Anolis sagrei: one gene and its partners. The protein of the gene in region 3 purifies or fractionates together with the protein of the main gene of each other region. This does not show direct contact. Links are inferred from orthologs where the notes say so. Each region holds a gene or a part of one and is shown on either strand. Other genes may lie near its edges.

Region 1 (7,393 bases), on a different chromosome or scaffold from region 3:
CACAAGCATAGAGACACCCAAATGCAGCCTCAGTCATGCCATGTGTTGCACACACACCCCCTCAACAACTGCTGTGTAACTGCTCTGGCCTTTGCACAATCAGGGTGGCTCCCCTCACTCAAAACAGGAGAAAGCACTTGATCCCTGTCACGACTGCCGTGCATTTGCTCTGGCCTTTGCACAAGCAGGGCAGCTTCCTTTGCACAAATAGCAGTGCTCCGGTGGAAAACACGAGCATGGAGACACACATATGCAATTTCATTTGTGCCACGTGTTGAACGCCTGCTTCCTCTGCATTTGGCTGCTGCATCCTGCGCACAAGCACTTGGTCCCTGCCACGAATACGGTGAATTTGCTCTGGCCTTTGCACAAGAAGAGCGGCTTCCCTCACACCAAACAACAGCACTTTGATGGAAAACAAAAGCATGGAGACACCCATATGCAACCTCAGTTGTGCCACGAGTTGCACACACACACACACTCCAGGAGTGCTGTGCAATTGCTCTGGCCTTTGCACAAGTAGGGCATCTCCCTTTGCACCAAAGAGTAGAAACACAAATGGCCCAATGTCACAAACGGAGGTACAGAAATGCAACTTTGGTTTGTGCCACGTGTTGCGTGACCCAGAGAGCGGTGAAACATCCCAAAGTGCAATGTGCACCAGGTCTCTTTTCACTAGACTCTGTGTGTGTGTGGGGGGGGGGGGGGGAATCCCCGAGGCAATCTCTCTCTCTCTTATTATCTCCTTCTGGATCCTGCTTTGCAAGAGGAAGTTCCGTGGGTGTCTTGTGCAACGGCGGCGGAGTCCTGGTGCATGCGTGTGTGGGCGTACATGAGAGCAGGAAGCACTGCTGCTGAGTGTGCGAGGATCGAGGTGCAACCCCCCCCCCCCCCCCCCCGCGTGCCTTCTCCTTCTCCAAAAGGCTGGGCAGGAGGAAGGAAGCGGGTGGAGAGGAAGAGGGACAGGAAACCCGCAGCAACTGCAACAGCAAAGGGAGGCCCTCGCACTCGTATTCTTCACACCAGGAGGGCGGGGAAGGCAATGGTGCAGCGGCTGCAAGCACACGCAAAGGCCAAAGCCAGCTGCATTGTAGCTGCAGGGGGGAGGGAGGGGGGGCATTTAAAAGGGGGGGAGGGTGATGGCAGGAACTCACTTTGCAGTTGGGGCTGGACTTCTTGAAGACCCTGCAGGGAGAGAAAGAGGAAGAGTGAGGACGAGGAGGAAGAGAGGGAGCCTTGGAAAGAGGAAGGAACATTCAGGGGGAAATACTTCCCCACTTCCCCCTCCCCAAATGCAAGGGTCCCTTCCCCAAAATGTCAGGTTTTGAGGACACACTCGACACCAACAGCAAAAATACAATTGCGTGCTTCATGTTTGTATGTTTTAGATGGTATGCCGGTGATTTTAGGTTAAGGCGCTTTGAGTCTCCTGCAGGAGGGGCCAAGCCGCCGGGTATACATAAATATTATGTAAATGCACGTGTGTGTGTGTATGTTTGTGTGTGTAATAAATAATAGTAATTTACATTGTATGGCAATTTGAGTCTTTGAGTCTCCTGCCGGAGAGGCCAAGCCACCGGGTATAAATAAATATCATGTGTGTGTCTTGTCGAAGGCTTCCATGGCCGGAATCACTGGGTTGTTGTAGTTTTTTTCAGGCTATATGGCCATGGTCTAGAGGCATTCTCTCCTTTAGGAGACCATGCCAAGTCTAGACCATGGCCATATATATGGCCATGGTCTAGACTTGGCATGGTCTCCTAAAGGAGAGAATGCCTCTAGACCATGGCCATATAGCCTGAAAAAAACTACAACAACCCTATAATGTGTATGCACGTGTGTGGTTTTGTGTGTGTGTGTGTGTGTGTATGTGTATATATATATATATATATATATGTCTGTGTAATAAATAATAATAATAATAATAATAATAATTTAAATGGTATGGTGATGCTTTTAGGTCTTTGAGCTGCTTTGAGTCTCCTTCTGGGGACATAAAGCGGGGTTGTCATAATAGTGACGATGATCCCATGGGAAGAAGAGCGCGCCATGGAGTTTGGGGAAGGGGTGGTGATTACAGGTGGAGTTACCTGGGAGGTCAAAGGTTACTGGGGGGGCAACAGTTGGTCCCCCTTTAGATTGAAGGAGAACACAACGGGGGGAGCGTTGGCTGCTCTGATGTTCCCCCCAAATGGAGCCGTGACCTCTTTTTCCCAGCCAAGGAGCCCCCTCCCCAAACATGGACCCACTTTGTAGTGCGGGGGGCGGGGTGGGGTGGGCTTTGGCGTAGGCCTCAAGGCCACCCAGTGGAGTGAGGGGGGGGGGCTTTCACCCTGTCCACCCCCTTGGCCTGTTGTTGGTGCTGGTCTTGCCTGGCAGGAGCAGGATGTCAACACTGCCCACCCCCCCCCCCCAAGGCGCTGGCTTTGCCCCCCTCGCTCCCCCCTCCCTCCCCCCGTGTGTTTTGGACTTGAGCCCCTGCCTGGCTCAAAGGCCGCCCGGCCTCCCCCTCAAAGCCTTCCCAGAAGGAATGCTGGATGGATGAACCCCAGGGCCCCCCCAGCCCCGCCCCAGGGAGACACCCCCAGAGCCCTCCCCACAGATGGCCACTCTCGCCCCCTCCCTGGGCAGCAGCATCCCGAGGGCCTCCTTGCAAGGGACCCCCAAAGACCCCCCCCCCCGAGGCCACCCAACCCGCCCCCCCCCCACTTATATGAGCCTAGAAGGCGCCGCCCGAGCCCCCCCCCCCGGAGGAGGCCACCCGGCCCCGCCCCAGGAAGACACCACCAGAGCCCTCCCCGCAGATGGCCAGCCGGCCGGCCTGTGTTGCCAGAGCCGCGGGGTGGGTGCCAGGGTCCCCTCCCTCCCTCCCTCCCTCCAAGGGGCCAGGGCGGGCGCCCTCCTGCTGGTACCTGGTGCCCGCCTTCTCCCCCATCCTGGCTTCCCTCCTGCTTCCCTTCCTCTTCCTCTTCCTCTTCCCTCAGCGCCGCAAGGAAGAAGCAGCAGCAGCAGCAGCAGCCATGGCCCCCTCTAGCTTGCCCTCCTTCCTTCCAGGGGCCCCGGTCACGTGGGCAGGACCCCGCAGCCAATCCCAGGGCGCGCCCGAGAGGAGGGGGCGGACGTCATCGCGGCAGGGGGGAGGGAGGGAGGGGGAGGGAGGGGGCAGGAGGCGTGACCCCGCCCTCACCCCAGAAGCCGCGCCTGCGCAGAAGCGCCACAAGGAGAAGGCCGCCCAGAAGGAAGAAGAGCCAACCCTGCTCAGCCAGAGATACACAGATAGATAGATAGATAGATAGATAGATAGATAGATAGATAGATAGATAGATAGATAGATAGATAGATAGATAGATAGATAAATAATAGAGGGATAGATAGATAGATAGATAGGGAGATAGATAGATAGGGAGATAGATAGATAGATAAATAATAGAGGGATAGATAGATAGATAGATAGAGGGATAGATAGATAGGGAGATAGATAGATAGATAGATAGATAGATAGACAGACAGAGGGAAAGATAGATAGATAGATAGACAGAGGGAAAGATAGATAGATAGATAGATAAATAATAGAGGGATAGATAGATAGATAGATAGATAGAGGGATAGATAGATAGGGAGATAGATAGATAGATAAATAATAGAGGGATAGATAGATAGATAGATAGATAGAGGGATAGATAGATAGGGAGATAGATAGATAGATAGATAGACAGACAGAGGGAAAGATAGATAGATAGATAGACAGAGGGAAAGATAGATAGATAGATAGATAGATAGATAGATAGAGGGAAAGATAGATAGAGGGAAAGATAGATAGACAGATAGATACATAGATATATACATAGATAGACACATAGATAGATAGATACATAGATAGATACATAGGTAGATACATAGATAGACACATAGATAGATAGATACATAGATAGATACATAGGTAGATACATAGATAGATACATAGGTACATACATAGATAGACACATAGATACATAGATACATACATAGATAGACACATAGATAGATACATAGATACATAGATACATGCATAGATAGACACATAGATACATAGATAGATACATGCATAGATAGACAGATAGATACATACATACATAGATAGATAGATAGATACATAGATAGATACATAGTGTATTATTGATGTATTGTGGCATAATAACATAGTACACATAACACTATAATAACTACATATACATGTTACATTACTAATAATATTGCAGCCTAGGGTTATAGTACAAAATAGTAATCTATAATACTAATATTGTGCTAGGCTAATAATAGAATATATTTCATGTACATATAATATTGATAATATTATAATTGAATACAATATCATATGAATAATATAATGAGAATAGTGTGATAAAATAATACTATAGAAAGTTTAATTACTACTAATAATATACAATAATATAGAATGGTAATACTGTTTTGTTATTGAATATGTGTATATTTTAAGTTGTAATGTTTTTGATTGTGAGCCACTTTGAGTCTCCGGGTGGGACAAGATGGAGGGAGAAGGTGAACAGCATCCAAGGGGCAGATTTGGCCCTGGGTCAGGACGCGGCATGGACACGGATTGTTCAGTCCCTGGAAGCACACCGGAAGAGCCATGTAAGCTTTTTCTGAAGGCAGCCAGGGTGGGTGCCTGCCTCATCTCCTTGGGGAGCAAGTTCCAGAGCCGGGAGGCAACCACAGAGAAGGCCCTCTTCCTCGTAAACATAAAGTTTAATAACAATAATAGTCTTCTCTAGGCTTTGCTGTCTCCTCATGATGTGGCATTCAAAGGACTTCAGCTTTCCCTCTAGTCTCCTTCCCTCCAGTGAGCTTTAGTCGGGCTTTCTTTCCTGGAGGATGGACTGGTTGGATCTCCTCGCAGTCCAAGGCACTCTCAGCACTTTCCTCCAACACCACAGCTCAAAAGCATCTCTCTTCCTTGGCTCAGCCTTCCCGAAGGTCCAGCTCTCACCTCCGTAGATGTGACTACTACAGGGAATACCATGGCTTGGACTAGGCAGTGGATCTTGGTTGCCAGTCTGAGGTCTCTGCTCTTTACTATTTTATCGAGACTGGACATTGCTCTCCTCCCAAGAAGGAAGCGTCTCCTGATTTCCTGGCCTCAGTCTGCATCTGCACTCATCTTTGCACCTAGAAATACAAAGTCTGTCACGGCTCCACATTTTCTCCCTCTATTTCCCAGTTGTCAATCATTCTTGTTGCCATAATCTTGGGTTTCTTGATGTTTAGCTGCAACCCGGCTTTTGCGCTTTCTTCTTTCACCTTGATTGGAAGGCTCCTCAGCTCCTCCTCACTTTCGGCCATCAAAGTGGTGTCATCTGCATATCTAAGGTTGTTAATGTTTCTTCCAGCAATTTTCACCCCAGCCTTAGATTCGTCAAGCTGGGCAACTTGTATCCTCACATGAGGATACAAGTTGAATAGGTTAGGTGAGAGTAGACAACCCTGCCATACGCCTTTCCCAATCTTGAACCAGGCTGTTGTTCTGTGGTCAGTTCTGACTGTTGCTCCTTGGTCGTGATGCAGATTCGTCAGGAGACAGACAAGGTGACACTTGGTCTCCACATACATGCCACCATGGACAGTTTATTATGATCCACCCAAAGGCTTTAGAATAGTCAATAAAACGGAACTAGATGTTCCTCTGAAGCTCCCTGCCTGCCTTTCTCCGTGATCCAGCATCCGAATCCTGGCAAGTTGGTCTGGTTCCTCTGCCTTTTCTAAAGCCAGCTTGCACGCCTGTCAACTCTCACTCCATGTACTATATTATGTAAATATAATACATAATAAATAAGAATAATAAGAAATCCTCATGGTGGTAGGAATTATAAATTGTATGTGTCTTAAAATTGATTACTTTTATAAAAAAAATAAACCTAAATGAATAATGGTAATAGGAAAATATTTTATTTATTTATTTATTATTTATTTAGACTTGTATACCGCCACTCCCAGTTTGGCTCGGAGCGGTTTACAGCAGTAGATTAAAACAATACAACCAACTTTAAAATACAATAAAGCAAGAACAGACATAGTCCCAAGTTATTCACCCATTGAAAGCTTGTTGGAAAAGAAAGGTTATATTTATATCAATGTAAATATAATAATAAATAAGTGTATATATATATATATATATATATGTATATATAAGGATAAAAAGAAAGATAGAAATACACAATAAGGATATGTATACATGTAAATATAACAATAAATATGTAATAAGGATTTATTTATTTATCGAGTCATCAGCAACTAGTCAATTATATTTCTAACAGAACAAAGCAAACAAACAAACAGACAAAATACAAAATACAGAATAAAAAAATTGTGAGTTTGGTAGTTGATTAGATGTCCTTTGCCCAGTATCTGTCCCCTTTGAGTGCCTCTGGTGTTGCTGCAAGAAGGTCCTCCCTTGCACATCATGTGGCAGGGCTCAGGTTGCATTGCAGCAGGTGGTCAGTGGTTTGCTGTTCTCCACACTCGCATGTCGTGGACTCCACTTTGTGGCCCCATTTCTTGAGGTTGGCTCTGCATCTTGTGGTGCCAGAGCGCAGTCTGTTCAGCACCTTCCAAGTTGCCATGTCTTCTGTGTGCCCAGGGGGAAGTCTCTCATCTGGTATCAGGTTCTGAGTTTGAGCCTGCCACTTTTGGACTCTCACTTGCTGAGGTGTTCCAGCGAGTGTCTCTGTAGATCTTAGAAAACTATTTCTTGATTTAAGTTGTTGACGTGCTGGCTGATACCCAAACAAGGGATGAGCTGGAGATGTCTGTGCCTTGGTCCCTTCACTATTGGCTGCTCCTTCCCGGCAGATGTCAGGTGGTGCAATACCGGCTAAGCAGTGTAATTTCTCCAGTGGTGTAGGGTGTAATAAGGATACATCTATGCAAATGGAATAAGTAATAAATAATAATGATATATACAAATGTAAATCTGTAATAAATAATTATATATATATATATATATAACATGCAACTATCGTAATAGTAATTAATAATAAGTAAATAATAACAATGTGGTGTTGAAGGCTTTCATAATATATTTCACATAATATCCTCTATTCCAACCCCAGCCTCCGGACATGCGCAGAAGCCCTTTCCCTTCTCCTTCCCTGGAGCAGGCCCCGCCCCTATTCATGCAAATAAGGGAGCGGTCGTTTCAAGGTCCCCCGCCACCCACCAACCGGGCTGCGGTTTCCAGGCTCCCCGGCGGTGGCCTTCCCGGCGTGCCTGGCGGGCCTTCCTCCCCGCCCCTTCCGCCTGTTGGCGCATGCGCGGTGCGCCCGGGGCGAGCATCATGGCGGCGTTGGCGTTGGCGGTGTCCTCGTCCTCGTCGCCGGGCTTCCCTCCGCCCTCGCCC
Region 2 (7,978 bases), about 140 Mb from region 3:
TCACATGCAACTCCTGGAACGATTCCATCAGCACTGCCTCCGGAGAATCCTGCAAAAATCTTGGGAGGACAAACGGACAAACGTCAGCGTGCTGGAAGAAGCAAAGACCACCAGCATTGAAGCGATGGTCCTCCGCCATCAACTCCGCTGGACCGGCCACGTTGTCCAGATGCCCGACCACCGTCTCCCAAAGCAGTTGCTCTACTCCGAACTCAAGAATGGAAAAAGGAAATGTTGGTGGGCAGGAAAAGAGATTTAAAGATGGGCTCAAAGCCAACCTTAAAAACACTGAGAACTGAGAAGCCCTGGCCCTTGAGCGCTCCAGCTGGAGGTCAGCTGTGACCAGCAGTGCTGTAGAATTTGAAGAGACGTGAATGGAGGGTGAAAGAGAGAAACGTGCCAAGAGGAAGGCGCGTCAAGCCAACCCCAACCGGGACCCGCCTTCCACCTGGAAACCAATGCCCTCACTTTGGAAGGGAGAACATGCAGATCAAGAATAGGGCTCCACAGTCACCTACGGACCCACCACAACCACACTGATCCTGGAAGTCTATCCTACTCAGACAACGAGGTAAGTAAGTAAGTAAGTTAGTAAGCAAATATAAATATGTGAGAGGAAGTTCTAGGGCGGAGGGAACAAGCTTGTTTTCCGCTGCCCTGAAGACTAGGACGCAAGGGAACAATGGCTTCAAACTACAAGAGAGGAGATTCCATCTGAACATTAGGAAGAACTTCCTGACTGTGAGAGCTGTTCAGCAGTGGAACTCTCTGCCCCGGAGTGTGGTGGAGGCTCCTTCTTTGGAGGCTTTTAAACAGAGGCTGGATGGCCATCTGTTGGGGGTGCTTTGAATGCAATTTTCCTGCTTCTAGGCAGAATGGGGTTGGACTGGATGGCCCAGGAGGTCTCTTCCAACTCTAGGGTTCTATGAGTCTATTCTATGGAATATGGGAGTCGTAGTTTTGCAAAGACTTAAATCTTCTCTTCCAAAGAGTGCTGTTTCTTCACCAAACTACATCTCCCAAGGTCCATAGCATAGCAATAGCAAGAAGAGGGCTGAAGTTAGCCCATGCCTGGTCTAGACCAAGGGAGGTCATAGTTCCAACTCAATTCTGCTTTGATCAGACCTCCTCATCTGGAGAAACCCTGCTTCCAGCATTTGGATGGATACCATGCCTCAATGCCTCAATGCGATAGCATGATGGGATTTGTAGTTTGGTGAGGCCCCAGCGGGGAAGGTTCAACACCTTGTAAAGCTACAACTCCCAGGATGCTGTCATACACCAGAGCAGGAACACCTCTGACCTTAAGCACCAAACCAGCTTGGTAAAATCAGCCTGAGGCCCCATTCTTTCCCCCTTCATGGGCCAACTTTGGCCCTCCAGGTGTTTTAGACTTCAACTCCCACCATTCCTAACAGCCTCAGGCCCCATCCTTTCCCCCTCAGCCGCTTAAGCAAGGAAAGGAAAGGGCCTGAGGCTGTTAGGAATTGTGGGAGTTGAAGTCCAAAACACCTGGAGGGCCCAAGTTGGACCATGAAGAGGGAAAGGATGGGGCCTGAGGCTGTTAGGAATGGTGGGAGTTGAAGTCCATAAAGACCTGGAGGGCCCAAGTTGGCCCATTAAGGGGGAAAGGATGGGGCCTGAGGCTGTTAGGAATTGTGAGAGTTGTAGTCCAAAAGACCTGGAGGGCCCAAGTTGGCCCATGAAGGGGGAAAGGATGGGGGCTGAGGCTGTTAGGAATTGTGGGAGTTGTAGTCCATAAAGACCTGGAGGGCCCAAGTTGGCCCATGAAGGGGGAAAGGATGGGGGCTGAGGCTGTTGGGAATTGTGGGAGTTGAAGTCCAAAACACCTGGAGGGCCCAAGTCGGGGTTGGCTTGACGCGCCTTCCTCTTGGCACATTTATCTCTTTTGCCCTCCTTCTGCAGCACTGCTGGTCACAGCTGACCTCCAGCTGGAGCGCTCAAGGGCCCAAGTTTGCTCAGGCCTGTCCTTTAGGATCATGGGGTTTGTAGTTTGGCACCTGGTCACCGAAACATAGCAGAGCATGTGCAGAGTGCTTTCGAGATCCTCCATGAACCTAAGACGTGCATCTATCACAGGCATGGGCAAATGTCATCCCTCCGGGCATTTTGGACTTCAGCATCCACAATTCCTAATAGCCGGCTGCTAGGGATTGTGGGTGTCGAAGTCCAAAATGCCCGGAGGGATGAATTTGCCTGTGCCTGATCTCCCTCGTAGAGTTCATAGAACGTAGAATCATAGAATCAAAGAGTTGGAAGAGACCTCATGGGCCATCCAGTCCAACCCCATTCTGCCAAGAAGCAGGAATATTGCATTCAAATCACCCCTGACAGATGGCCATCCAGCCTCTGCTTAAAAGCCTCCAAAGAAGGAGCCTCCACCACACTCCGGGGCAGAGAGTTCCACTGCTGAACGGCTCTCACAGTCAGAGAGTTCTTCCTAATGTTCAGATGCGCCGCAGACAAAGGAAGTTCAGGCAGTTTGACATCATTGTGTCATGCTCAGGGGTCCTATGGCATGAATCCTTTGCAATTCCCCACAAACAGATCCCCACATACCAAAACACCTAGAGGGGCCAAGTTGGCCCATGTCTGCACTAGATGGATACAGTGGACCCATTTGTGCCATTGCAAGAGATTTGAGCCTCTGGAGAGATGCTCACCCATGTGCCCATGCTACCCCTTGCTTACCGCTTCATGACCTCTTCTGTGGCTCTGTTTGTGGGGCCCCCGTCGAGACCTCTGGATCCCCCATGGGCCCCTTTCATGGCAGAAGGGGCCAGCAAACGAGTCGAGACAGGGAAGGCAGGGAAGAAGGCTGAACCTCGCTCGGCTGGACCAGGCGCAACCCTGTGCCTGGCACGATTGTTCCTGTGCCGGCATCACACGCCGTGCGCCAGCCCAGCCCTCTCTCTGCTGCGGCAGCATGGAGCGCACAAGCCGTGTGTTGCAGCGGCTGTCTTTGCTCCAAAAAGGGCTTCCTGAGCATCCCAGGAAGGCAGCGCAAAGGAAGCCCGGCTGCGATGCGCGGTCCAGATGCTTCCCGTAAAACACAGCAGCCCAGCCCTTGCCAAGGACGCATCCCAATGCTCCAAACGGAAAGGCGATGGTGGACGCATCACGGAATCAGCACACGCCTTGCATCTCCTTGCCAGGTTTCCTTGCAGGTCCATTGTCTGCAGCGCATCCTCTCCTTTCCCACACTGTGTCTCACAGGTAATTTGTTTTTCTCTGTATACAGATATATATATATATACACACACACACTAGCCACCCCCTGCCATGCATTGCTGTGGCCCAGTCTGTATATATGTATTTTGTGTGTGTATGTGTTATGGACCCACCCTGGAGGATTATCCTACTCGAACAACGAGGGGTCACCTAAGTAAGTAATGTGTGTGTATATATTTGTGTCTGCATATATATGTGTGTGTGGGTGTATATATGTGTGTGTATATTTGTGTATTTATATTTGTGTGTTTATTGGTTTATATATGTATATGCATCCTACTCGAACGAGAGGTCACCTAAGGAAGTAATGTGTGCTTATATATTTGTGTATATATGTGTGTTTGCATATATATGTGTGTGTGGGTGTATACATGTGTGTGCATATTTGTGTATTTGTGTGTTTATTTGTTTATATATGTATATGCATATTGTGTATTTGTGTGCTTGTCTATATGCATATTTGTGTGTATATATGTGTATGTATATATTTGTGTGCATGTGTATATGCATATACACATGTGTGCATGTATGTGTGCATGTGTATATGTATATGTGTGTATATATGTATATTTGTGTGTGCCTGTGCATATGTATATATGTGTGTATGTGTGTGTATATATGTGTGTATATTTGTATGTTCTTGTGCATATATGTGCGTGTGTATGAATGTGTGCATATGTATATATGTGTGTATGTGTGTATATATGTGTGTATATTTGTATGTGCTTGTGCACATGTGTATATGTATATGTGTTTATATATGTATATTTGTAAGTACATGTACATATGTATATATGTGTGTATATATGTGTGTGTATGAATGTGCACATGTGTATATGTATATGTGTTTATATATGTATATTTGTATGTGCATGTGCATATGTATATATGTGTGTATATTTGTATGTGCTTGTGCATGAATGTGTGTATGAATGTGTGCATATGTGTGTATATATGTGTATATTTGTATGTGCTTGTGCATATATGTGCGCATGTGCATGTGCATGTGTATATGTATATGTGTGCATGTGTATATGTATATGTGTGTATATATGTGTATATTTGTATGTGCTTGTGCATATGTGTGTGTATGAATGTGTGCATGTGTATATGTATGTGTGTATATATGTATATTTGTATGTGCATGTGCATACATATATGTGTGTATATATGTGTATATATTTGTATGTGCTTGTGCATATATGTGTCTGTGTATGAATGTGTGCATATGTATATATGTGTGTATGTGTGTATATGCGTATATTTGTATGTGCTTGTGCATATGTGTGTGTATGAATGTACACATGTGTATATGTATATGTGTGTATATATGTATATTTGTATGTGCATGTGCATATGTATATATGTGTGTATATGTGTGTGTATATTTGTATGTGCTTGTGCATATATGTGCGTGTGTATGAATGTGTGCATATGTATATATGTGTGTATGTGTGTATATATGTGTATATCTGTATGTGCTTGTGCATATATGTGTATGAATGTGTGCATGTGTATATGTATATGTGTGCAGCTAGTAGCCAGGGCAGACCCTGCTTAGCATCCACGATGTGAAAGGGCCTGGTGCACTTAGGATATTCGGGTGTTTCGAGAATACATCCCACAGTATTAAGTATCTGCTTGCGGTCTCCCATCCAGGTAGTAAACAGGGCAGACCCTGCTTAGCTCCAAAGATCAGGTGTCTTTAGAGATATTTGCAAACAACTACCATGGAAAGCATCTTGTCCTCAGACTTCTTGTAAGTCAAACCCAACTGGATGGCAAATGAAACCAAATGCAGGATGTGCTTGTTTTGCCCCCAGCATCATCTCTTCCACCAGCTGCGCACTGGATCTAGATGCATTTGAGCCCAAGACCTTCGGCCTGCAAAGAGAGTGACCTTTGGCCGTTCTGTCCAAATCTGTCCCATCATTGGGAGCTATGCGCTGTCCGCACATCTTCCCGATGCAGAGGTCAGCGCCTCGTCCTTCGGCTCCAAAACTTCCCAGCAATGTCACTGCGAATGGCCTCTGCCTTGTGTCTTTCCTCTCAAACCCAGAGGGACCAGAAGAGAGCAAACTGGGGCAACTGGGATGGGAGAAAGAGTGACGCAAAGCGCATGTGGCCCATGGGGAAGAACATCAGAAATGACATGCTCCATGGGGATGGTATAGCCACTCTGGGTTTGAAATCGCCAATTAAAAGCAGCTGTGCATGAGTGCAAAGGGAGTTTACACAATAATACATGATCTAAACACCCTAAAGGGGCCAGATCTCATCTAATTTTGGAAGCTAAGCAGGGTCAGTCCTGGATAGTACTTGGAGGGGAGACCATCTACTATAGGTTGTAGGGAATGGCTATCTCTGAGTCTTCCTGGCCTATTCACAAAATAATACAGTGCCTAAATACCCAAAAGGTGTCAGATACCATCTAATCTTGGAAGCTAAGCAGGGTCAGCCTTGGTTAGGACTTGGAAGGGAGACCGTCTACTATAGGTTGTGTTTCAGACACAAGGGAATGACTATCTCTCAGTCTTCCTGGCCTATTTACAAATTAATATTGGGCCTAAATACCTAAAAAGTGCCAGATCCCATCCTATATTGGAAGCTAAGCAGGGCCAACCCTGGTTAGGACTTGGAGGGGAGACCATCTACTATAGCTTGTGTTTCAAACAAAAGGGAATGACTATCTCTGAGTCTTCCTGGCCTATTAGCAAAATAATAGAGTTTCTAACTACCCAAAAAGTGCTAGAGTCCATCAGATCTTGGAAGCTAAGCAGGGTCAACTCTGGATAGTACTTGGAGGGGAGACCATATACTATAGGTTGTGTTTCAAACAAAAGGGAATGACTATCTCTGTGTCTTCCTGGCCTATTCACAAAATAATACAGTGCCCAAATGCCCAAAATGTGCCAGATCCCATCTGATCTTGGAAGCTAAGCAGGGCCAACCCTGGTTAGGACTTGGAGGGGAGACCATCAACTATAGGTTGTGTTTCAAACAAAAGGGAATGACTATCTCTGTGTCTTCCTAGTCTATTCACAAAATAATACAGTGCCTAAATGCCCAAAATGTGCCAGATCCCATCCTATCTTGGAAGCTAAGCAGGGTCAGCCTTGGTTAGGACTTGGAAGGGAGACCAATGGGAAAAGATTATATTTCAAACTAAGGGAATAATTATCTCTCAGTCTTCCTGGCCTATTCACAAAACAATATAAGGCCTAAATACCCAAAAGGTGCCAGATTCTGATTGATCTTGGAAGCTAAGCAGGGTCAGCCCTGGTTAGGACTTGGAGGGGAGACCACACAACAAATACCCGCTGCTATAAGTTGTATTTCAAAGGAAGGAACTGGAATGACTATCTCTGAGTCTTCCTGGCTTATTCACAAACAATACAGGGTGCAAATACCCAAAAGGTGCCACCCTGTTCTTGGAAGCTAAGCAAGGTCAGCCCTGTTTAGGACTTGGAGGGGAGAGCCAGCTGTATAGGCTGTATTGCAGGAGGAGGAGCTGGCCAAACCACCAGTTCCTCCTCTACTAGATGGAGGAAACTTAGGATATAAAGCAGGAAATGGAGCAAATCTCTAAATATACATATGCAACCACCCAGTGCATCTTTGCAAGTTGCAACCCCAAATGCATAGGTGGGCCATTATCCATCTGGAGATGAGCCCAAATGCATTAGCATTGTATGCTAGTTTTGTGCATGAAGCAGCCTTTCATTGGCAGATCTTTGGAAGGCTTTAATTGCGCTGCTGACAGGTCTATGAAGACAGCAGATTACAGGAGCTGTCTTCATAGACCTGTCAGCATCAGCAGCAGCATATGGTACTGTAAATCACCACTTTCTCCTGAGAAAAATCTAGAGTATCACAAAGGATGACCACCTCACCAGCTTCATAGGAAACCTGCTACAAAACAGGAGCTTTTTTGTTGAGTTCCAGGGCCAGAGAAGCAAAAGGCAAGAACAGCAGAACGGCCTGCCTCAGGGTAGCGTGCTTGTTTCATCAATGTTTAACATTTACACAAATGACCAGCCACTGCCAGAAGGGACAGAGAGTTTCATCTATGCTGATGATTGTGCCATCACCGCTACAAACCCACCAAGAAAATCCAACAAATGCTACGTTCAGCAAAGGACAAGAGGGATCCTCTCACCTCTGCAGGAGTCTACCGTATACTAGGGCTGGGCGGTTTCGTTTCGTTAATTCGTAATTCGTTAATAATTCGTTAATTTTTTAAATTACAAAACGATAACGAACCATTCTGGAGCAATTTTTTTAAAAAACGATTTTTTAAACACGTTTTGTAAATGCTTCGTATTTTGTTATTGTATTCGTTTCATTATTGTTCTGAGGTCGTTTCGTTATTATTTCCGCATGTCTGGGGCAAGTTTTTTGTTTAATTAGTGAAAAAAAATTATAATATCATACCAACAGTCAAGAACAGAGGGAGAGGGAAGCTTCAGAAGTTTTTGGAGGTTTTTTAGCGTATTTCGCGGTCGCGTCCGCCATTAACGAATCGATTCGTTATTGTTTCGGAAATCGATTCGTTAATGTTTTGTAATATTTTTCACATTTACGAAATTTCATAAATATCGAACTTTTTAAAAGGAAAATTTTGTAATTATTTTAAATAACGAAACGCAAAAACCCCCAAAAAACGAATCGATTTTAGAAACAAATTTTTCCGTTGTTACCCAGGTCTACCGTATGCCATGCAGCT
Region 3 (7,397 bases):
CTGTGGTACTCTTTCTTGTTTCCTTTCCATGGTTAGTCAGGTACCATGTACTGCTCCCCACAGGAAAGTCATAGCTGCAGGTAGTCATCTTGACCGGACCATAACATCAGGCTGGGCAAGTGAATCCCTTACAGGCCAGTCTGTATGTAGGTAAGTTCCACTAAACTCAACAGTACTAGCAGTGATGCTTTATATCAGGCCTTCTTAAACTTTTCCCACTCACAACCTGTTCCTCCCAAAAAATCTTTATGTGATTTCACATATATCTATATAAATAAAAATATAATGTTTGTTTGTGGGATTAACATATCTCAAAAACCACTGGATGAATTGACACCACATTTGGACACAATATACTTATCAGGCCAACAAGTGACCATCAGACATAAAAACACTGAAAAACACAGGGACTTGAAAAGCCAAAAAAGCAAAAAAACGCTACATGTGCAAAAGTGACTCCCCTTGGCAAACAAAACACACAATAGCATATCCAAACCCTCTTCCAGACTACAGTTCCCAACATCCCCTAGACCAGACCCTTTAGGAGAGGAGGATGATCCAAATGCACTGCTTCCAAGCTGCAAGCTTTCTTCTCCTTGGATTTCTTTGAGAGCATCCTAATCCCTGCATATTTCCAATTTCCTATTACTGGATTGCAACTCCCAGCAATCCTCCAGATAGATAGATTAGATGGAGATAGGTAGGTAGGTAGATGGATCAGGAGGACTGTTGGGAGTTGCAGTCCAAGAATAGGTAGAGAAGGAAGAAAGGAGGGAAAGAGGAAGGGAAAGAAAAGGTGAGAGGAAGGAAGGGAAGAGGAAGAGAAGGTGGGAAGGAGAGCAAGAAAGAAAGAAAAAAGAGGAGGAAGGAAAGAGGGAGAGAAGGAAGGAAGTAGAGAAAGAAAAAAGAGGAAGAGGGAGGGAAGGTTAGTCACAGCAACGTGTGGCGGGTACAGCTAGTAGGTATATAAAATAGGTATACAAGTCAAGCATGTATTCAATATAAATCATCAGTTGCAAGGCATACTAAAGAGGCTGTTTTTCCTTTTTGTGGAGTACTGCTGAAGCACTTTCTGCAGAGTCCACTGCAAACATTATGTGATAGGTTTGTTTAAAAGCCTAATACAGCCACCAGGTGGCATCCAGAAAATGTTCACAAGTTTTCAAAGGCCCTTCCAGACAGGCCCTATATCTCAGGATCTGGTCCCAGTTTTCCTGTTTATCCCAGATTATCTGGCAGGGCGGATTCATATAATCCAGTTTAAAGCAGAAAACCTGCGGTCAGACCCTGGGAGATCGGGCCTGTACAGAAGGGGCCAAAGGCCCCTTCTACACTGACATATCATCCAGATTGTCAAAACACATCCAGATTTCAACTGGATTATATGAATTTGCACTGCCATATAATCCAATTTAAAACAGACAATCTGGATTTTAAACGGCAGTGTAAAGGGGCCAAAGCTTCATGACTTCTTCATCAGGCAAAGCTGTGAAAATCATAGAGGAGAAAATTGTGATTATGTTACAGTCTCAGACCCCTTCTACACTGTCATAGAAAATCCAGATTATCTGATTTTAACTGGATTATATGGCAATATAGACTCATATAATCGGGTTCAAAGATATCTGCTTTGATAATCTGGATTATATGGCGGTGTAGAAGGGGCGTCTGAAATTTTGTCAATTACAATTGTACTGCCAGATTGAAAAGCCACCTTCCTGATTGGTCTCAGGGGGACTGGGGTAAAGAGCAATACAAGACAGGTAACAAAATTTCAAATAATTTAGTAACAGAAAAGTAACTTCTCTGTCCCAGTCCTATGCAAAGCCAAGCTTTCCTTTCTTTGACAGAGACATTGTGTTCTTCTGTGTATCTCTACCCAGAAATAAACCTACTGAAGGACTCATCTGAAGTATAAGAGTTAGTATAGAATTTTGCTCCAACTGATTTAGAACAACAATAAGGGTAAATAGTTCATGTGATCCTACGCAAGCATTTTTCAATCAAAATGACTGTTCTGTGACCATTAGAGAAGATTAGGCGCCCTTCCACACAGCCCTATATCACAGAATATTTATTTATTTATTTATTTACAGTATTTATATACCGCTTTTCTCACTCCTAGGGGGACTCAAAGCGGTTTACACATAGATAATGGCAAAAAGTAAATGCCTTACAACTACAATAGTAAAACCACACTTTAAACATAAATCATATTAAAAACGGTACATCCCCAAATATCAAAACAGCTATTAAAACCATAAAACAATCTAATCAGTCGAGTCACCGTTCCAGTCCTGGTTCCACTAAAAGCTGCATACATCTATTGTTTGAAGGCCTGGTCCGAGAACCATGATTTTAATTTTTTTCTAAAGGTCAGGAGCGAGGGAGCAGATCTTACCTCCTTTGGGAGTGTGTTCCATAGGCGGGGGGCCACAGCCGAGAAGGCCCTGCTCCTTGTCCCTGCCAGCTGCATTTGCACTGTTGACGGGAGCAAGAGCAGGGCCTCCCCAGATGATCTTAAATTGTGAGGTGGGACATAGGGGCAGATGCGTTCAGACAAGTAAGCTGGGCCCGAACCGTATAGAGCTTTATAGGTCAAAACCAGCACTTTGAATTGGGCTCGGAGATGTTCCGGCAGCCAGTGGAGCTGGCATAACAGGGGGATGGTATGCTCCCTGTATGCCACCCCAGTTAGTAATCTGGCTGCTGCTTGTTGAACTAACTGAAGTTTCCAAACTGTCTTCAAAGGCAGCCCCTTTGCAGAAATTTATTCGGGATGTAACCAGAGTGTGGACCACCGTGGCCAGATCAGACTTCCCAAGGTACAGGCGCAGCTGGTGCATGAGTTTTAACTGCAAAAGCTCCCGTGTCCACCGCCAAAACCTGGGTTTCCATGCTCAGCGATGAATCCAGGATCACTCCCAAGCTGTGAACCTGCGTTTTCAGAGGGAGTGTAACCGCGTCCAACACAGGCTGTAACCCTATGTCCTGTTCGGTCTTTCGACTGACCAGGAGGACCTCTGTCTTGTCTGGATTCAATTTCAATTTGTTAGCCCTCATCCTGTCCAACACAGCAACCAAGCACCGGTTCAAGGTCTGAACAACCTCCTTAGTGACAAAACTATGCATTCCCTGATTATAAACTATCTTTTATTGGAAGTGGGGGGGGGGGGGTCACCTTCGACTACAACCCCATCCACACAGCTGAATAAAATCCCACATTTTCTGCTTTGAACTGGAATATAAGGTAGTGTAGACTCAGGGCCCTTCCACGCATCCATATAACCGAAAATATCAAGGCAGAAAATCCCACAATATCTGCTTTGAACTGGGTTATCTGAGTCCACACTGCCATATAATCCAGCTGTTTGGAAGGGACAGAAAATGCCATTAACTCGGTCTAATCAAGCTTCCAAAGAACATGGCCTTCATGAAAGAGAAAAGCCAAATAATGAACAGACAGTTGAAATTCTGAGGAAGAAATCACTATAAAATCGTTAACATAATAATATGGGAAAAAACAAATATAACTCCAAAACATGTAATAGAGGACCAAAATGATTAAGTATAAATGTAAATGGAAGGTTTTTCTGTAATACTTTGGTCATTTAATATAATTCTTTCTCGAATTGCCCCCTTACAAATCAAATGTATGTGGAGCATGTGGCCCACGTTGGAAATCAGGGGTATAGACCTCTATAATGCAGTTCCCCGGTGGCGCAGTGGGTTAAAGCGCTGAGCTGCTGAGCTTGTTGACTGAAAGGTCGCAGGTTCGAATTTGGGGAGCAATGTGAGCTTCCGCTGTCAGCCCTAGCTTCTGCCAACCTAGCAGTTCGAAAACATGCAAATGTGAGTAGATCAATAGGTACCGCTCCGGCGGGAAGGTAATGGCGCTCCATGCAGTCATGCCGGCCACATGACCTTGGAGGTGTCTACGGACAACGCTGGCTCTTTGGCTTAGAAATGGAGATGAGCACCACACCCCAGAGTCAGACATGACTGGACTTAATGTCAGGGGACAAACTTTACTAATGCAGTTAAATGCAGTTAAAGTGCATTGTATGTGTAGATTCAAACTAACCTCTAAGGCCCCTTCTACACAGTCCTATATCCCAGAATATCAAGGCAGAAAATCCCACAATATCTGCTTTAAAATGGGTTATCTGAGTCCATACAGAGATAATTTTCTGACTTGATATTCTGAGATATAGGGCTGTGTGAAAGGTCCTTAATGATGACCATGGTTTTGAACTCGCACAGCCGGAAGTTCAGAGCGTGAGGTCTCTTTTAACTATTTCTATCTCTATGTTCTCCTCCCAACCAACCGCTCCTTTCCAAGGTTCGTGGGCGGGGCAGGGGGCGGGGCTGCGTCCTTTTCCGGCGGCAAGATGGCGGCGAAGACGCGTGTGGTGCCCAGCGACCTCTTCCCGCTGGTCTTGGCCTTCCTGAGGGAGAACCACTTCGACGGGGCGGCGCGCGCGTTCGGGAAGGCGGCCGGCGTGGTGAGGGCCTTGTGGGGGGCGAGGCCGGGCCCTGTCGCTCTCCGGAGGGGCGCTGCATGCGGGGAGGGCTGCTCCGCCACGTGGGACCCGGGCCTCCCTCCTGAGGGGCGCCCTGATCCGCAGGGAAGGCCAGGCGAGACCAGGTCCAGTTGGGCTTCCAACTCCCAGAATACCTGGCCATTGAACTTGCAAGGGCTTCTCGGGGTTGGAGGCCTCAACAGCTGGAGGGCCCCAGTTGGAGGAGGCCTCCTTTAGGATATATTACAGTGGCTGTCTGCTTAGCATTGCTGCTTTAAAAGAATGTGTAAAAACACCAAAGCTTCCAACAGTAGGGCCCCTTCCACACAGCTGAATAAAATCCCACATTATCTGCTTTGAACTGGGATATATGGCAGTGTGGACTCAGATAACCCAGTTCAAAACAGATATTGTGGATTATTCTGCCTTGATAGTCTGGAATATAAGGCTGTGTGGAAGGGTCCTCTAATGTGCAGCCTTATTTTGTAGAGGTAATTATGTAAAAAAAAAGGTGTTATTTTGCATCAGTTTATTTCAATTTATGCATTTTAATTTGATATTAGCTGTTTATATTTTATTTTGTTGTACTGTAATTCTGGGCTTGACCTCATGTTAGCTGCCGTGAGTTCCCTTTGGGGAGATGGTGGGGTATAAATAAAGTTTATTATTATTATTCTTTGAAACACAACAAGATGAGTCCACAGCAGACAAGATCACTCTGCTGGCTGTTGTATTGGATCACACGTCAGACACTTCCCAAGTGTATTGTCGAAGGCTTTCATGGCCGGAATCACTGGGTTGTTGTAGGTTTTTTCGGGCTATATGGCCGTGTCTAGAGGCATTCTCACCTGATGTTTCGCCTGCATCTATGGCAAGCATCCTTAGAGGTTGTGAGGTCTGTTGGAACTAGGAAAATTGGTTTATTTATCTGTGGAATGACCAGGGTGGGACAAAGGACTCTTGTCTGCTGGAGAAAACTGGACATCTAATCACCTCTCAACAGAGGTTTGCTCCAGGCACTGTCAGGCAATTATATGATAATCAAAGTGGTCAGTTGAAACATTCACACCTAGCTCCAGCAGACAAGAGTCCTTTGTCCCACCCTGGTCATTCCACAGATATATAAACCCCTTTTCCTAGTTCCAACAGACCTTACTACCTCTGAGGATGCTTGCCATAGATGCAGGCGAAACATCAGGAGAGAATGCCTCTAAACCGTGGCCATATAGCGCGAAAAAAACCTACAACAACCCACTTCCCAAGTGTCTAGGACTGTATGATGTATCGACAAATAATGTATGCAGATCCCAGTAAGGTGGCCTTCTCCAGCTGGCAGATGGTAATTTTGTCAGCGCTGATTGTCTTTAGGCACTGCACCCAGTGCCTTTAGGCACTGCACCCAGGTCTTTAGGTCTTTAGGCACTGCACCCAGTGTGCTGATCACCCCTGGGACCACCTTGACTGGCTTGTGCCAGAGTTTTTGCAGTTCGATCTTTAAATCCTCATATCATGTCAGCTTTTCCAGTTGTTTCTCTTCAATCCTGCTGTCGCCTGGGATTGCAACATCGACGATCCATTATTATTATTATTATTATTTTTATTATTATTTGAGTAAATAGGGATATAAATCAATGGAGAAACATTCACAGAAACTAGCTTAATATAAGTCGTATGAGTGGCTTGAAGGGGGCTGTAGATTTCAGACATAGCTTGGATATGGAGGTCAGTGTGTAAGTAAGAAAAACCAAAGGTTTGGCTTTGTCTCACTAAGGACCCTTCCATGCAATTGTATAAAATCCACATTGAACTGCATTATATGGCAGTGTGGTCTCAGATAACCCAGTTCAAAGCAGATATTGTGGATTACCTGCCTTGATATTCTGGGTTACATGGCTGTGTGGAAGGGCCCTAAGAAGCCTGAAAGGGCCTGTGATGCAAGTGTGTTGGCAACAAGACAACAGTTGCAATAAAGAAGATCCTTCTGAATGCATGTCCGAAACAGTTATTTGCTCTGATTATTGAAACCTTTGTGATTCTGTAACATTATGGAGAAGTGTTGCTGTTTTGGCATGCTGCTTTGATGTAAAATTTACTTAGGAGGCTCCACCATGGGCCCTTCCACACAGCCCTATATCCCAGAATATCAAATCCCACAATGTCTGCTTTGAGCTGGGTTATGTGAGTCCACGCTCAGATAATGTGGGATTTTCTGCCTTGATATTCTGGAATATAGGGCTGCGTGGAAGGGCCCCATGTCACATTTTCTCATCCCTATTACGGTTTCAGCAGCATTGCTGTAAGAGTCCCATACAGAGATCCTATATGGAGTTGTATGCACTATTCTAGGAATATGAGAATTTATATCCCATAATCTAGGAAAACGTGAATAGCTGTGTGTGTGTAATATTAAGATTAACTTGAAAGGAAATCTGGGAAGACATACAGGATTTTTCAAACGAACCTAATTTCAAAGCAGTATATTCCACGATGGCAGCATGTTACAATCGCACAAAAACTTACAAGTGGTTTAATGAGTTATGAGATTTTACTAACCATTTTGACTTGGAAACAAATCTGAAACATAATTCCAAAATGGATAGCATATCATTAGGCCTTATGTTGCAGGGCAGTGTGTTTGCTGGGAGAGGCATCTTGCCATAATCATGTGAAACTCCCACCATGTACTCAAGCACATATTTTGCCCTGTTTACTTTTGTGTCTATTTTACTGCTAGATAACTTTCCTGTCTATGAATAGTCTTACCACATTAGTTAAGACATATGTATTAAATTTGCCTGTGTATTTAACCGAATTGCTATGAATGTATACATTGGTACAGAGCCCATCAAATACCTGAAATCATTAGAGCTATGT

Evidence for each region.
Region 1: the proteins of NOLC1 (region 3) and ARRB2 purify together in Homo sapiens (affinity purification with mass spectrometry; 5 studies listed by BioGRID and IntAct, counting the BioPlex papers as one, with this or other methods). This does not show direct contact. The link is inferred for Anolis sagrei from reciprocal best matches to the Homo sapiens genes NOLC1 and ARRB2.
Region 2: the proteins of NOLC1 (region 3) and ARRB1 purify together in Homo sapiens (affinity purification with mass spectrometry; 4 studies listed by BioGRID and IntAct, counting the BioPlex papers as one, with this or other methods). This does not show direct contact. The link is inferred for Anolis sagrei from reciprocal best matches to the Homo sapiens genes NOLC1 and ARRB1.

The regions. Positions count from the first base shown.
Region 1 is NC_090026.1:259,492-266,884, forward strand, and holds the start of ARRB2 (beta-arrestin-2), read right to left. Parts: upstream 3,068-7,393; 5' UTR 2,936-3,067; coding exon 2,913-2,935; intron 1,186-2,912; coding exon 1,155-1,185; intron 1-1,154. UniProt on the Homo sapiens protein: Functions in regulating agonist-mediated G-protein coupled receptor (GPCR) signaling by mediating both receptor desensitization and resensitization processes.
Region 2 is NC_090023.1:3,232,605-3,240,582, reverse strand, and holds the start of ARRB1 (beta-arrestin-1), read right to left. Parts: upstream 3,059-7,978; 5' UTR 2,790-3,058; coding exon 2,713-2,789; intron 1-2,712. UniProt on the Homo sapiens protein: Functions in regulating agonist-mediated G-protein coupled receptor (GPCR) signaling by mediating both receptor desensitization and resensitization processes.
Region 3 is NC_090023.1:147,385,004-147,392,400, reverse strand, and holds the start of NOLC1 (nucleolar and coiled-body phosphoprotein 1), read left to right. Parts: upstream 1-4,366; 5' UTR 4,367-4,391; coding exon 4,392-4,505; intron 4,506-7,397. UniProt on the Homo sapiens protein: Nucleolar protein that acts as a regulator of RNA polymerase I by connecting RNA polymerase I with enzymes responsible for ribosomal processing and modification.